2 linked regions of the Mytilus edulis genome follow. The protein of the gene in region 1 binds, or shares a complex with, the protein of each later gene. Links are inferred from orthologs where the notes say so. Each region holds a gene or a part of one and is shown on either strand. Other genes may lie near its edges.

What was found.
Region 2: the proteins of structural maintenance of chromosomes protein 2-like (region 1) and condensin-2 complex subunit H2-like are in contact, whole or in part, in a cryo-EM structure (PDB 9F5W), measured with the Homo sapiens proteins. The link is inferred for Mytilus edulis from reciprocal best matches to the Homo sapiens genes SMC2 and NCAPH2. Residues at the interface, in NP_001036015.1 of Homo sapiens: Leu93, Thr125, Gln128, Asp129, Cys132, Gly135, Leu136, Asn137, Met173, Tyr174, Lys177, Lys178; in NP_689512.2 of Homo sapiens: Glu46, Phe53, Ile54, Glu55, Leu58, Leu59, Gly62, Ser63, Ala64, Cys65, Val66, Lys69, Tyr73.

Annotation. Positions count from the first base shown.
Region 1 is NC_092344.1:125,107,282-125,115,150, forward strand, and holds the start of structural maintenance of chromosomes protein 2-like, read right to left. Parts: upstream 3,333-7,869; 5' UTR 3,243-3,332; coding exon 3,075-3,242; intron 1-3,074. Other genes in the region: probable ATP-dependent DNA helicase RecS, read left to right, coding at 4,050-4,543, 5,067-6,132; uncharacterized protein, read right to left, coding at 6,151-7,287. UniProt on the Homo sapiens protein: Central component of the condensin complex, a complex required for conversion of interphase chromatin into mitotic-like condense chromosomes.
Region 2 is NC_092350.1:23,512,117-23,521,060, reverse strand, and holds the start of condensin-2 complex subunit H2-like, read right to left. Parts: upstream 3,770-8,944; 5' UTR 3,691-3,769; exon of another isoform or gene 3,675-3,690; intron 1-3,674. Other genes in the region: lipase maturation factor 2-like, read left to right, coding at 4,115-4,208, 4,979-5,029, 5,514-5,716, 8,874-8,902. UniProt on the Homo sapiens protein: Regulatory subunit of the condensin-2 complex, a complex that seems to provide chromosomes with an additional level of organization and rigidity and in establishing mitotic chromosome architecture.

The sequences.
Region 1 (7,869 bases):
TATTTCAAAATTTGTGTCAATATTTTCAGGACAATGATGCACAAATAATTCATTTTGCGAGCTTAATATATCTTGCACAAAAAGAGTTTTAAATCAAAGAGCTGAAAGCTCTGAAGAAAAATGACGCCACTGTCTCTAATATAGGGATAGTTTTTATGCAAGTCTTGATTTTCACATACCGTAATTAGTTTAACAATGCAACATGTATCGTAAGCATATAATTGATATTCGTATATGTGTGTGTGTGTGAAGTGAAGGTGACAACTGGCTGGTTTTTTAAGACAAATGAATAGGTCAAGACTAGCTGAATTGTACAAATAAATACCGTAGAAAGGCTTGTATATTTCTCACTGGTACATAGTCTGAATCTGAGTCCGTTTGCTTCCATTCAAGTTTGCGCCCACTCATTTTCACCCCTTTCACTTTCACACCCTACATGTTCACACCCAATCTTAATTGGTTTTGTGTTTAATAACTATGTAAGCAAGTGTTTTCTTATAAGTATAATTGTTGTCATTGTCTCAAAATAAAGTGAGACAGCAATTTTTTTTTTTGTGTTGAATAAATCTTAATTATGTTTTGGATAAGGTATTGCTAAAAATAATAATAATCCTTTCTAAATAAAGTGGTATTTTGTCAACGTTTTATTTTGTGTTGAATAACTCTTAATCATGTTTTGGTTAGTGTATTGCTATAACTTGTTTCATTGACTTGTTTCAAAATGAAGTGAGATTCTGACTATGTTTGTTTCTGCGTGTTGAATAAATTTTATCATGTTTTGGTTATATTAGTGGATTGCTATATTTTGGTTTCTATGTTTTATTGTTTCGTTGTTTCAGATCAATGGGACCAAGCTGTTAAAAACAATTATCTTTTGTGTTTTTTCCTTTAAAATCTTCAATGTTTTACTCATACCAAGCTATAAATACATTCAGTATTTACACCAAAGCAATTTAAAACAACAACCATAATTTTCCAATTATTCAACTTGAATTTGAATTAAAATTGGGCATGAATGAGTAGAGTGTGAATGTGCGAACGTGTAGGGTGCGAAAATGTATTGGGCACAAACAGACCTGATGCCACACAGTCTGAACCCCCTTCTCCCACAAAATATTAAGTAAATAATCTTTTTGTTACTGCTATCAAAGGTCTAATGAAACTCAGATAGTTTCAAACATTTGTCAAAGAATTCTAGTCAAACTGGCACCTAGTTAAATTGGCACCTGAACGTCGTAGGAAGGCGTCCCAGAAAAATAATAAAATAGCCTTGCCAGACGTCATAATTATTTGGACTAATACATGAGATATTGTGTATTTTTCTGCATTATTTTAACCAGTTGAGCATTTTACAGGATTGTTGGTTTAATGCTGTTTAAACTTTACTGAAAAACAAACACCTTAAATTTGCTAATTATTTGGCATGAAAGTTTGATTTATTGAAAGGGACTCATAGTTTTCCATTTTATTTTAATAATTGACTTGTTTTTACAATTACACAAATTGTCTAAGTGTAATTGTCTAATTGTTAAAACAACAGCTTTGGTAAGGGCTTCGTTGTTTACCTTTATACACTACATATTCACTTTCGTTTCGTGGTTTACCGAAATACACAACAACATATTCACTATGTACTTGGTAACAGTAATTAATTAATTGAATAGAAAATATTATATCAAATATTATTGGATGCCGAATTGACGTCGAATAGGTGCCGATTTGACTAGATGCCAATTTAACCAGGTGCCGACTTGACTTGTACGTTTCAATTCCTCTGCGATCGTTTGCGGTATTTTCTTGAGAAAACCTATTTTCCATCATCAAAGAGAAGAAGAAACTGCTTTAAAATGATTCTGGAACGCTTCATGATTGTTAAAATAAGTTTAATTCACTCAAAAACAATTTTAAAACTTGCGATTAAACAGGAAGTTTCCAAAGCACGTGTAAAAGAAGAAATTAACCGGTGAGAGTGGAAATCCGTATATGACAGACATCCCTATAGTACGACTTTGAAAGTAAAACAGTTCAATCCTTTTGTAAAACAATCTTTAATATACCTATCACATTAATGTTTAAATGGTCTTAAGCTTATTCAAACCATATAAGTCGGTATGAAACACCAAAACGGAATGAACAATAACCGATTACGTTTTGTAGTTTACAAATTCTAAAACTGGTTCCCGTCAAACTACAACACTTTGTTCGAGTGTAGTGGAATACAAGCAAAAACCAGTGTAAACTGGGTCCTGGCTGGTTTAATACTACACAACGATGCATAATGATAACACAAGCAGGTTCCAGTTTGTTTGGAAAATAGGAAATACGAAACCAAGCGCGGTAGGCAGAGCAATGTAATGAAGTTCAGGTCGGCAGTTATGGAACAATGACTGCGTCATTTTCCAAAAACAAATTATAAGATAAATAGTATGTTCTAAAACACAAGGAAAAGTAATCTCATAATACAATAATTAAACGTAATACTGGCTGTTATTCATAATAGATGATAAAATATTATGTAAATAATGTTTCATTTTTTTCTATCAATTTAAACTTTCTTGTCGCTAAAATTATTTTCTTTTGCATATTCTTTTATTATTTATTGCAATAATTAATTTTAATTTAAAAAAAATGTTTTCTTGTCGCTTCTTGTCGCTAATTAGTAAGACCGCATTTTTTCATCAAAGTAATAGCTGACACATTTTCGTATCCAATCATTTATTAGCAATTTTATTATTGATTTTTGAAGATCATCCAATCACATTAACCGTTATAAAGTGGCTACACGTTAGTCGTTACGAGTCCAAAAACCATGAGGCATGCACGTTTACCAAAATATCGTAAACTCTGACCTTTTATCACTTGACCAATGTCTTGACCTTAGAAGCCATTAAATTGTTTGCCTTCCAACTGGACCAGGATAGAAATTATTTCTATTAAAATGCACCAATGAGAACAGTTGTGCCATACGGCCAAAAGATAGAGGATTAAAGATATCCACAGTACATCGTGTTAACATTCGTGTGAGCTTGTGTAAATTAAAATATTTGCTCATTAATGAAAAGAAACAAACTTACATGAGAAAGGTTTGTGATTCCTAGCAAGAAGCAAATAGAATCCAGAATATTTGATTTTCCACTGCCATTTAACCCTGTTATAGCGTTAAAAAGGGGATCAAATCCGTTGATTTCTGTTCTTTGAGCATACGACTTAAAGCCGTCTACGACCATAGATTTAATATGCATTGCCAAAAGTTGTAAATGTTGTTTTTAAATCATCTGTCTGTTTTCATTTCAAACTGGCGCTCAAAAATAATAATGTACGCGCATGACTGAACGGAAGTAAGACATTAATAATACGAATCAAAACAATTGACGGTTGTACTCGAGATACTATTTCCGGATAAAATATTTTCCAACCGTGCTGGATAGGAGGACCTTTTTCGGTTATATGGATTGAGCCGTTTGACAATTCGGAATAATTCAATTATAAAATTGCATGGACGTCATGATTTTATAACATCGTGATGTGGGAACAGACACATTATATTCACTAGCAATTGGGGACAGTGGCGGATCCAGAGGGGGGGTTCCGGGGGTCCGCACCCCCCCTTTATTTTGGCCGATCAATGCATTTGAATCGGGACATATGTTTGCACCCCCCCTGCACCCCCCCTTTGCCCTGGGCTAGCACCCCCCCTTTCGAAAATTCCTGCATCCGCCACTGGGGGAGCTGGCTTAATTTAGTTCAACTGACTATAGTATAATGATACATTTAGTGGCACTTAGACTTGCTACAATTCCCTTTCTAATATTTCTCTCTTACTAATTTATATGTTTACTGATAAGTGCCAGCCTACTGATTGCCCTTGGAGAAAGGGACTTGTATAATAACATTTTATACCGACCAGATACTGGTCGGTAAGAGGTTATTATTTCACATCTGCTGATAATAGATAATTAGACTGTCATGTGTATATATCCCATGCTGTTCTCCCATATTTTATCTCAAGTAGATTACAATTTCACTTTTCTTATGATTCTTACATCAAAATGGATACAGATGTCATATCTGCTGCAATAGATTTTGGATTACAAAAGTTGTCATTTACTGAAATCAAAATTAACCAGAGAAAAGTTGTAGAAAGCTTTTTGGCAGGCAAAGATGTATTTTTCTGTTCTCCAACTGGAAGTGGCAAATCACTAACTTTTGAAATAGCACCTTTTGTATTTAAATATTTACAGAAGAATGATATGTGTATTGTACTTGTTATTTCGCCTCTAACATCTTTAATGCGTACACAGACTCAATCATTGAATAGAAAAGGGATTAAAGCAGTATATTTGAAGGACATTACCTCACCATCGAATTTTGAAGACAGCCTAACAAATCTTTCCTTAGTAGATGTAAAGGATGGCAAAATTGACATTATTTTCTCCAGTCCAGAGTCACTTATTGGACATGAAAGAAAATTACTATTGGATTTGGCAAAGAAAAAATTTATCAAGACAGTATTTGTAGATGAAGCTCACTGCATAAAAAAGTTGTAAGTATTTATTTTTGTACATATAATAATGTATAATACTAAAGTAGAAAAACAAATCATCTGAATCGCTCTAACATAAGCTATAACATACATAAGAATAAATATGTATATCTTAAAAACAGTACATGCATACAAAAGAACATCATATATTTATAAATGTATATATATCTGTACATGCAATAACTATTTAATGTTTATTTATTCAAAACATTCTCATTTAATTTTACTTTTAATAATTAATCACCTTTTTATTTGAATATTTCTGTTATTATTATGAAAGATTATTCTGCCAATGGTATCCAAATTAAAAACTTTCAATTCATATTGTGATGTTTTGAAAGATGTATGAAATATTTGCTACTGGACTGTTGGATATCTACAATAATTAAGATTTTATAAATATGTTTTCTATGGTACTTACATAATTTTTCTTATGAAATACTTCGTTGTAATGCTTAGGCATTTTTATGAGACCTATGCAGATTTATATTGCAATATGATTAATTAATTTTAATTTTTTCAGTGGGCTTCCAGATAAAAAGAAGAAGAAATTGGCATATAGACCATGTTATGGCCGACTTGACGAAATTCGTTCACTTGTTGGGGGTCATGTACCAGTAGTGGCTCTAACAGCAACAGCTACAGAGGAAACCAAAGCTGTCATTAAAAAGCAACTTTGTATGGATAACTGCACTGAGATTATGGTAAATCCCGACAAAAAGAATGTAACATACTGGGTACATAATTTACCTTCAGATGATATTTGCACCAATTTTAGATGGTTAGTAAATTTATTAAGAGGATATAAGCAGGCCACTTCAAGGATGATTATATTCTTTAGGCAAATCAAACACATGGCAGACGTATATGAATATCTTGAAACATCCCTTAAGCATGATGCTTACATAGACTTCAAAGAGGGAGGACCAAATGATAACAGAAATCGCCTTTTTGACATGTTCCACATGAAAACCGATGATGACGTAAAAGATTTTATTTGTACATCCTACATGAATCCAAACGGTAATATTAGAGTTGTTCTATGTTCAACATCCTTTAGCATGGGTCTAGATGTAAAAGGTGTGGATACAGTTATACATTATGGTCCAGCTAATGATGTTGATGACTATGTACAAGAATCTGGTCGTGCTGGTAGGGAACCTTCACAACAATGCAATGCTATTCTACTAACTTACAAAAGATGTTTAGGAAGTCAAAATATATTCCCATCTATGAAAGAATATGTTAAATCTAAAACCTGTAGACGGGCGTTTATTCTAAATATATTTAAAACAATTGTTGAACATGCACATATACCTCACTTTTGTTGTGATATTTGTCGTCTCTCGTGCAAATGTGCATGCAGTTGTGAAGATGAATGTGTATGTACAAACACTTGCAATCAAGTTCTCCCTAAAATAAACACAGCTATTATGTCAAATGAGGACAATGATGATAGTGATGATAACGATGACAATGACATTACAGAACTGGATGATATGTTTTCAAGTGATAGTGACAGTGATGTTTTAGAATCGTCAACAAGAAAACCACAAGTCATTTACAGTTCAGATGATGAAATGTTTTGAAACAATAAAATTGTTCTGCTAATAGAAATGTTTATTTTGAAACTTTTTTAAACTAGCACCAATCCAGTCTCTAACAAACTCCATGTCTAGCTCTGTAAGGGGATTTTCCTTCATGTTTGGATAGGCATAATGTGATCGGCCAGGAATGAAATCGAATAAATTACATGCCTGGAATTGTCTGACCAAAGTTATAATGTCAATTTCCTTGTCACATGTTTTATGTCGTCCTGATGGAACATGCACGTTGCACATTTTGTCAAACTGTTTGATAATTTCGTGGACTTTCATAGCACTCTTACTGACTCTCGAAACCACTTTCTCAGTAAAAACACCTCTGTAACTATGGGCAGAATCTTTAAATACCTTATTACAATGTTCTACATCTAAATCATTAGGATGATTTGTGTTTGCGTCCCCCTTATGTTTTACAGTTCTGTTCCATATCAGTCTGTGTGCCTGGCGTTCTGTTAACAGAACTTCAGTTTGGGCTATAGTTTCCAAAGTACCAAAGGCGTATTTTGTACAATGACAATATTTATAATACAAAACAAGGAACTGGTCAATTCTCAACATCCTTGATCCATCACCCATATGAATTGCATCGTTGTGATCCATTCGTAATAAACCCAATGTTAAAACCAACTTTGTATATGCACTAACTCCATCAGATTCATTTTCGTTATCCTTGCCACTTGATACTTTTTCCTTAGCAAAAAGGGGGTCATAATGACCATGAATGGAGGATTCGTGTTTTCTGAGGGAATGTGGTTGTTTGTACTTTTTTCCACAGTATCTACAATTATACGTATTGCAATTTGGCCCATATTCTGGAAGTTTTGGTATTTCTGGCAATGTGAATGTCTTAACAAACGAGCGTGCCTGATCAAAAATATATTTTTTCATTTCATTTGTATTCCCAACTGCACCCTCATACACATTTTTACAGGGTAAAGAGTCTATACTTTCCATTCCAAAATGAGTAAGACCACCTGTTATAATATATGCTGTGGTAACTTTCTCAACAAGATCAGAAGCTGCATAAAAATCATCAGCCGGATCTTGGGTAACATTTCTTGCATTTATGGTATTGCGTGCTGCATACAGAGTTCCCTGGTCTCTAGCTGACGAGGTTGAGTAGAGCAACTTCCAAATGACCTGAAATTGAAACAATCAGACAGATTACGGGTTTAACAATGAAAAAATATGCATTTCTCAAAAAATAAAAGTGTTTTTCTGAAAAAATATATTCAAAATAAATATCAACTTACAACTTAATCTATTTCAAATTATCTTTCTTATGTAGATATAAAAAAGAAGATGTGGTATGATTACCAATAAGACAACTGTCAACAAGAGACCAAAATGACACAGACATTAACAACTATAGGTCACTGTACGGCCTTCAACAATGAGCAAAGCCCATACCGCATTGTCAGCTATAAAAGGCCCCGTATTGACAATGTAAAACAAAACACATATGTAACACATAAACAAACGACAACCACTAAATTACAGGCTCCTGACTTGGGACAGGCACATACATAAATAATGTGGCGGGGTTAAACATGTAAGCGGGATCCCATCCCTCCCCCTAACCTGGGACAGTGGTATAACAGTACAACATAAGAACAAACTATAAAAATCAGTTGAAAAAGGCTTAACTCATCAGATGGAAAAAATACAATTAGACGTGGCCAGGTACTTGTACATCCCGACAACAAAAAGACCCTAGGAACA
Region 2 (8,944 bases), on another chromosome or scaffold:
GAAGGAGTGGAGTCGTCGAAATTTTGCTTCAAACACGTGCAGTCGCAAAGTGGTGAATAAATCCTTTATGTGACATGTGACGGGCGCCATTTAACCATATCAATTTGTCATATAATACAATCAACACCTTTATTAATTAGTCCTTTGATGTCGATAGCTATAAAATGCAATCAGCTGATTATTTATTTTCTGTCAAAATCTTAACGAGGTCAAGGTGAATTCCAAGTATTGTCTGATCAGGTAAAGTCCGAGAAAACCGAAAAAGTAAATAAACAAGATGGTTGAAAATAAATTGTTATATATATTTCTTTCGCCAATGACAAATTTTAATCGCCAAACCCTGGAAACCCTGGCTATATGATACTTTCTCTTCCCTTTCTTTTCTTTTGATAAGAACAAGTTTTTTCCTAGATATTTAGTGTAATTGTATCTATACAGGTTGCACTATAGTTAACTCGTACCATCGAAAACTCGTACCACGTTAACTCGTAGCAAAAAAGTTAACTTGTACCACTGGGAAGTTGTACCATTCAGAACTCGTACCACTGTAAACTCGTACAATTAAAAATATATTAAACAAGAGGCTGTCACAACGACAGCAAACCGGATTTATTAACATTTATTTGTGTCCTGGCAATATCACAAGAACCATTACTGATGAATGGTGAAAGTGAAAATCGTCAATATCAAATTTGACCTCCATTTTGTCATCAGTATCAACATATTAAAATTTGAAAAGCTTAGATTGAATGGTTCATGAGTAAATGCAACAACCTGAATGGAAACGCCATTTTACGATCTTTCAAGAACCATAACTCCTGAACGGTAAAAGTCAAAATCGTCATTATTGAACTTGACCTCTATTTTGTCATCAGTAACAACATATTAAAATTTCAAAAGCTTTGGTTGAATGGTTCATGAGAAAATGCACGGACACGACGGGAAAAACCATTTTTCAATCTTTCAAGAACCATAACTCCTGAACGGTAAAAGTCAAAATCGTCATTATTGAACTTGACCTCCATTTTGTCATCAGTAACAGCATATTAAAATTTCGGAAGCTTTGGTAGAACAGTTCATGCATAAATGCACGGACACGACTGGAAACTCCATTTTTCAATCTTTCAAGAACCATAACTCCTGAACGGTAAAAGTCAAATTCGTCATTATTGAACTTGACCTCCATTCTTTCATTAGTAACAACATATTAAAATTTGGGAAGCTTTGGTAGAACAGTTCATGCGTAAATGCACGGACAACTCCATTTTTCAATCTTTCAAGAACCATAACTCCTGAACGGTAAAAGTCAAAATCGCCATTATTGAACTTGACCTTCATTTAGTTGTCAGTAACAACATATTAAAATTTTAAAAGCTTTGGTTGAACGGTTCATGAGTTAATGCACGGACAACATTTGATTGCCGCCCGCCCGCCCGACTGCCCGACCGCCCGCCCGCCCGCCGTACATCCCCAAATCAATAACCGACATTTTTGTCACAAAAATCCGGTTAAAAATGAAAACTCAGACAAAAATAGAGAATGTTTTTTAAGCTTTATTGCTTAAACTGATCTTTCAAACTAGAACTTAATCCAGAAGAAAGTTAAAACATTGCTTTAACTGTACCCTAAGTTGAATATATATATCCAAATTAAATTAATTAAAGCTGTAAACCATGATCACAAATTGAATGCTATGTTACATTTCATTGTTATTTATAGACAGTAAGAATTTAATTTTGGAAATCATTTTGATTAACTGCTAAGATTTATTCATGAAAAATTAATATTTTCTTGGGGTAAAACTGATAATACTTTAATAATCTACATCTGCCACGGTATTTTCTATCCAATAGACAAGGAACATTAGCTACAAATTGGTCATTGTACTTTCAAATTATATACATTTAACAGACTTAAGAGGTATTGAGTGAAAGTAACGTATATCATGTATATAAAAAATTATATTCATCATTAAACACCATTTAAATGCATTTGAATAAGTTGGTACGAGTTAGCAGTGGTACGAGTTTGCATTGGTACAAGGTTTTTTTCAGTGGTACGAGTTGACGTTGGTACGAGTTTACAATGGTACGGGATAACTATAATTCCACTATAATAACCCATTCATTCATTTAGTTGGGTAGGTAGGGTAACTGGAACCACACATATATTTTTATTTGGCCATATATAATCAGTGATCGGGAAGGTCGTGCGCCCTGCGCCTATCGACCAGAAATGGCGCATAGAGTGACTTATGTAAGCCCCCATGTGGCGCACAATATTTTTCACTTCGTTTAGATATGTTTAGATATCGTCAAATGGATTTCCGATCGTGTTCCGTGCCGCCATGTGTGTGTACACAACTGTGTAATGTTCCTCCAATGATAGGAGCACCTATATATTTTTGGGACGTCTCGGTGTTTTCCTAGGCCCGTTTTCCTATGGAAATAATAGAACCATGGGGTGTAACTGATTACCCAAAAAAGTAATTAACCATCATTCATGATATGATTTTTTACAACCTTAAATTTGTAAAATTTGGCTAGTACAGACGAGATTTGTCTCTAATTATTATCTTTTAACTTAGTTCAGCTTGCTACTTTTTCGTTGAAAAACCCCAAAGTCTTTTTATGAATATAGTTTTTGTCTCCATAAAAGGCGACTAACTGTCCTTGTCACTTTTTGGTCTTTGGCTTGTTTTGACATTTTGTAAACATGCCTTCAGCGAATTGTTGTTTTGTTTTATCAATTAATGATACTCTCTACTATTATTGTTGTCATCGTGAAGAAGTAATAATAATACAAGAAGTGCAGAGGAAATGCCAAATACGTCCTCTAATACGGAACGTCAGGAATAAGTATGGTATCGACGAAGACCCAAATTTAGACTAGTGATTAATTTGTACTACTTAAATAGGTGATTATAAAAGAAGACAACTCTTACTTCCAACCTTAATGGCCATAATGTTACTTGAATCAGTGATTAGAAAATCACTCATTTAAGTACATTTAAGTCCCCTGACTGGTTTAACCTCGCCACATTCTGTATGTAAGTGCCTGTCCCAAGTCAGGAGCCTGTTATTCAGTAGTTGTTGTTTTTTGTACATAAATAAAGCTGTTTGTTTTCTCGTATGAATTGTATTACATTTGTGAGTGGGGCAAGACCTTTTTCAGGACGTGGACGTTGGGATCGGGTGTTTTTAAGTTTGGGATTTCTGGATTGATCCTTTCGGGATCTAGGAATTCTTTTTTTGAATTTCGGGATGTCAAGATTTAAATTTCTTTAAATTCGGGACCTCAGGTTTTCATATTTTAAAGCCCAGGATTTTGGGATCAGGAACCCTCCTCATTTGTTATTTGCCTTTTATAAATTATAGCTTAGCTGACTGTGGTATGGGCTTTGTTCATTGTTGAAGGCTGTGCGGCGACATTTAGTTGTAAATTTCTGTGTCATTTGGTATCTTGTGGAGAGTTGTCTCATTTGCAATCATACCACATCTTCTTTTTTATTTCATATATGTGATATAGTAATACTCAGTAAATTAGATTTAATTTGACTTTCAAACTGTGGCTTCTCTTCCTTCCATGAACTAGAGAGGACGGGTTTTGGTGTGAATAACTTGAGCCTTCTTGCTCGTAATGAACAACTGATGAAAGCTTTCATAAACACCTACTTTTTTTACTATTTACCTGGTAGTTTTTATATTTATATTTTGATTTTGGATATCCCGCTTCCGCTAATACATAAAATGGTAAATATTGAAGGAACAATTTGATTGGATATAACGGGGCACCTTGCAATATTTTATCCAATCAAATATTGTTTAACATCAAAAACGAAAGTAGAATATTTTAATCCGCCAATTACAAAATGAAAGTACAATTATGACAATTTGTTTTAGCATTAAAATTTATAGAATCATAGCTAAACCAAGAAATTAATTGAATCTTTTGTAGTGTGAATTATTGTAATTATGATCAGATAAACGATTGATGAAGTAGTTGACATCTATTGAACAGGGAACTATTTTTCAGTGCAACTGTGTCCGAAAGTGTTGTTAGGTCCGTTGCAGCGGCTGTTGTTGTGATTTGGTTATTAATATTATACATTAAGATGTCATCTTACAAAGTAACGAAAAATGCCTTTTTATGGGGCATGGCAGCAATATATTTGCTTGCATTTTCATCACTATATGTACAAATTCCTGGTAACTATCCGTTTGTTTACTCTTATTCAGATTTTAACATTTATAACCATAAAGTGATTTCCAATAGCTATACATAAATAACCCATTACTTATCTTTTAAATCTATTTATTTCAATTTGATTTATAAAAGTCCATCTTGAGTTCTATGTTCAGATTCTGTTGACCAATTCAAGCACATCATTTTAAAGACATTTATAGAAATGAAACTGAAAGAGTTATAAATATAAAAAAAACTTATTGAAACAGTATAACTGTGTTAAATATAGTTGGAAAGCAAGATTTATATTATGAATAACTAGGTAAATTTTAATCAGTTTCTAAACCGAAATCTAAAGCATTTTATACTTACAGAACAATGACCTTGAGCAATGTTCACCATCCTAATGAATACCTACTCTGTAATATCTTATAAATACTGAATGGTGACACATACAATAAATGATTGACTTCATTACTCCCTACATCTGTCATAAACTATTGAATCCAAACATCCCCCTGCTCAAATAATATTTACAACTTTTCTGACTTCTGATCAATTGAAAGTCTATATATCAAATATTTTTGTTTATATGCCATGTATGTTACTTAGTTGAGTCTGAGTACCATTTACTTTTCTAATATTGGAAAGAAATTATACTCTTTTCTAGGTGTTTACCTAAAGTTGTAGTTACTTTTTGCTTTACTCTGAAATAATTGAAATAAATGTTATAAATTTTGATTTTGATTCCAGAAATATTAAAACCTTTTTAACCAAATTTCTTTCATTCAAGGTTTATATGGTGACAATGGAATATTGCCAGCTAGATTAGCGGTTGGGAAAGGTAATTAAGTTCTATTTTTAAGATTTTTAAATTAGACTAAGGTTGTAGCATACATGTACTATTTATTACCAAACTATTGTAAAAGTACAACAGGATTCTTCTTCCATGATTGAAGTACAATTCTATTCATATGATACCAGGCCTGTCTCAGTTTGTTAACTGTTCATGCACTACTGCGATTCTTAAATTAAATTCTCTAATTAAAGGGTAAAGAATGAATTGAAAGTTGTATATATGTCACTGTATGTCATTGAGACAGCACCCCCTCCCCCCCCCCCCCCCCCAAAAAAAAAAAAAAAACAAAACCAAACACCAACAAACAAAACATGCATTTGTCCCCAATAGAAAAAAGTCATATCATACATCTAAACCTGAGTCAAGACATTGTGAATTATTAACACTCTACCAACACTACTTATGTGATTGCCAGTTCATTTAGTTCCTCTATCAAATCTGACCATTATTAACAATCTTATATTTTTAGCTGCAAAGTCATTTGCTGATTTGCTAGATGGACATCCAACTTTGCTGAGATTAATGCCAATGATTGGATTAGATACCGAGACTGGCCTTGATCTCCTTTGTATACTGGGTATACTGATCTCCTTTGCAGCACTTCTTTTCCAGGCAGCTAGAGATGTTTTTGCCTTTACTCTTTTGTGGATGTTATATTTGTCTATATACCAGGTAGGTTTACTTAGGATATCCCTTGATGTTTTATCGGTAATTTGTATATTTTCCTTTGATGTGTACTCACTGATAATGTCAGTATCAGTGGACTGGCCGTGATATAAAAATTATTGGGTTAGTACGCAATTGACATGCGCGAATACAACGCGTAAGGATCTACTTTCCCCTTTCATTCACAAAATTGCGCATGATTTTTTTCGCAGAAACGCACGAGATTTTTGGCGATGAAATACTTTACATTGTTTGAAACTTTCACAAAGTTAGTTTAGCCTTTTTGAACAATTGATGTCAAAATGTAAACAAAATATGCATGAAAAAGCCGATAGACTTTTAAAAAAAATGTGTTATCTATAATTGATATATTAAGTACATGACTAACATTATTATATCGTCCATGATGTTCCAATCCGAGTTTTTATGCATACAATACCAATACATAGCCGGGTGCTGTTCCAAGTAGTTTTCTTTTTCTGTTTTTTGAGAAGTATTTGTTTTACCTGTTCAGTCACTATAAAGTGTTGCAATTCATATTTAAACGCAACACATAAATAGTGACCAAAAAGGTACCGCTATCGCATGAGAGAAGCTAGAAAATAATGGTCAATTTAAAGACAGATATTCATAGAACAAAGAACAAAAAAGTGAACTTATTCATTTGCGGATCTACATGTAGGATAAATTTTAAAAAGGGGGGTAACCGGGGTCACCAAACTATACATGTATAAAGGTCTGCTTTGACCTGAATTGTAGCCTTTATAAGCTAAGAGGTGACTGACACGGGTCGCCTTCCCCTAAATTCACATAAGAAATTAAAGGTAACCACAGTGACTGTAAACTCAAATTTCATTTTTCTGGTCCGTGTTGAAAATAGATGAACAAGACTTTGACAAAAGCAAGAATTATATTAAGCTAAAAGTTTAGTGACGTCTATTAAAATGTTTGAAATAATTATGAAGAAGGCAAGAAATGAGCTTGTTCAGATAATTTACAAATAACTTTAACAGTCACTCAGCTCCTAAAATGTCTCCTCACATAGTCCAAATAATCATGACGAAAAAATATAATAAACTTTCAAGATGTCATAATTATTTGGACTACTCCTCAGTGCTTCCTTAAAATTATTTGAAATCAATGTGATCGTTTTCATGATGAACACTGAGCGAATAATGACAAGATAAATGTAATTTTATCCACTAAACTAAGTAAAATATAATTATAATAACTTGTCGTTGAACTTAAAAATGATGATCGATGAACAATTAATCTGCTGATTCATATCGTATCATTCTAATGTTCTGACTTACTATGCTCGAGGGGGGTCATGGATGCATGGATAGGACCTTTATCGGGACTCCGGGATCAGGTGTTTTTAAGCTCGTGATTTCGGGATGTCGGGATTTACTTTAATTTACTTTATATTCGGGACCTCGTGATTTCGTGTTTTTAAACGGGCCGGGATTTCGGGATCAGGAACCCTCCTATCCCCCTCTTTGTTGATGCTTTGTGAAAAATACAGAAATTTGACTTACCGGTATGCTACCATTATATTTGCCATCGTTAGAGTCATGTCCAAAGCAAAATATTAATGAAACACATGCAATAATTCCTTCAAATCTTTATACTTTGTGCAAGAGAACGCCATGTTTAATGTTTACTGCACTGTGACAAAATTTCAAATGACGTAATGCAGCCTGTGACGTCAAGTGTGATTCGCCGTGATCCGACGCGAAAAAGAAGTTTGTTTGTTATTTTCTCTATTATTGTAGTGATTTTTAATTTTTTTTTAAATTACCGATAAACAGAATAAAGGACTTTTTGTTTTTGATACTGACTTTATCACAAAAAATATCAGGCTCGCCCGAATTTGTCTATATACCAGGTAAGTGTACTTAGGATATCCCTTGATGTTATATTTGTCTATATACCAGATAGGTGTACTTAGGATATCCCTTGATGTTATATTTGTCTATATACCAGGTAGGTGTACTTAGGATATCCCTTGATGTTATATTTGTCTATATACCAGGTAGGTGTACTTTGGATATCCCTTGATGTTATATTTGTCTATATACCAGGTAGGTGTACTTTGGATATCCCTTGATGTACACATTATGTCTGTCTTCATGTGTACAATAAAAGTGTGTAATGAAGATTATTCTGTTGTTGATCTTATATCTGTAAACATAAGGGACGACGTCAAAAGTTCAATGTAGGATAAAAAACTTAATTCACATAGTTTTTTCACTGACACCCCCCCCCCCCCCCCCTCTTAACTTAATTTGGGAAAAATTGATTTACCTTTATGGATATATGTAAAATCAATTTTGGATTAACAAAACTAGCAGAAATGTTGACCCCCCACCCCCAAACTATTTGATTTAAGTTTTTTATCCTACATCGATCTTTTGATGTCGTCCCTAACAGGTACACTTCAAGTTGTCATGAAATTTGCCCTGTTGTGGACATTACATCTTTACCAAGTAGGTGTTATGGTGATTATTTTGTTGGGAGTTTGCTCTTGGTTGTTTGTTAACAAAGATTAAAAAAAAAGGATTGTTTTTTTGCAGATGATATTCTGACTACATACCAGGAAGGTTTCATTAAGATAATTCTGTTCTTGATGTTACATGTTTATCTGTATCTGTCTGTAGTTGTTATAAGGACTTCTCTGTTGATGACTCCACAGTAGATACAATGTACTGTGTTTGTACCATACTTAATAATCAGATATATTTAACTTCAGTTGAATTTTAAATTACTATATTCTTATAAACTGGATGAGATAAGTATTGTTTAAACTTTTGAAAAGTGAGATATTGTAAATGTACATGTACATGACTATTTAGTTATTATCTTACTTGATAATTTGAAAATTAACCTATAGTAAAGAATAAGATATTTTATTCACCAAATTTGGGCTGCAGGAGTGCATATATCACAGACACATACACAGTTTAATTATAAACAATCAAATATTCAATTGAATCTAGACAATAGGCATGTTAAAAAAAAAAGAAACATACACACACACACCAAAATAACAACAACAGTATTGAAAGGATTGTACATTAAGATACATTCTGAATTATTTTCAGAACAGATCTGAATGCATTGGAGATGCCAGTTAATAAATATATATTCTTTGTAATTTCAGGTTGGACAAACATTTATGTGGTTTCAGTGGTAAGTTACTGACATAAAATGAAATAAGACTTACAAATTGCA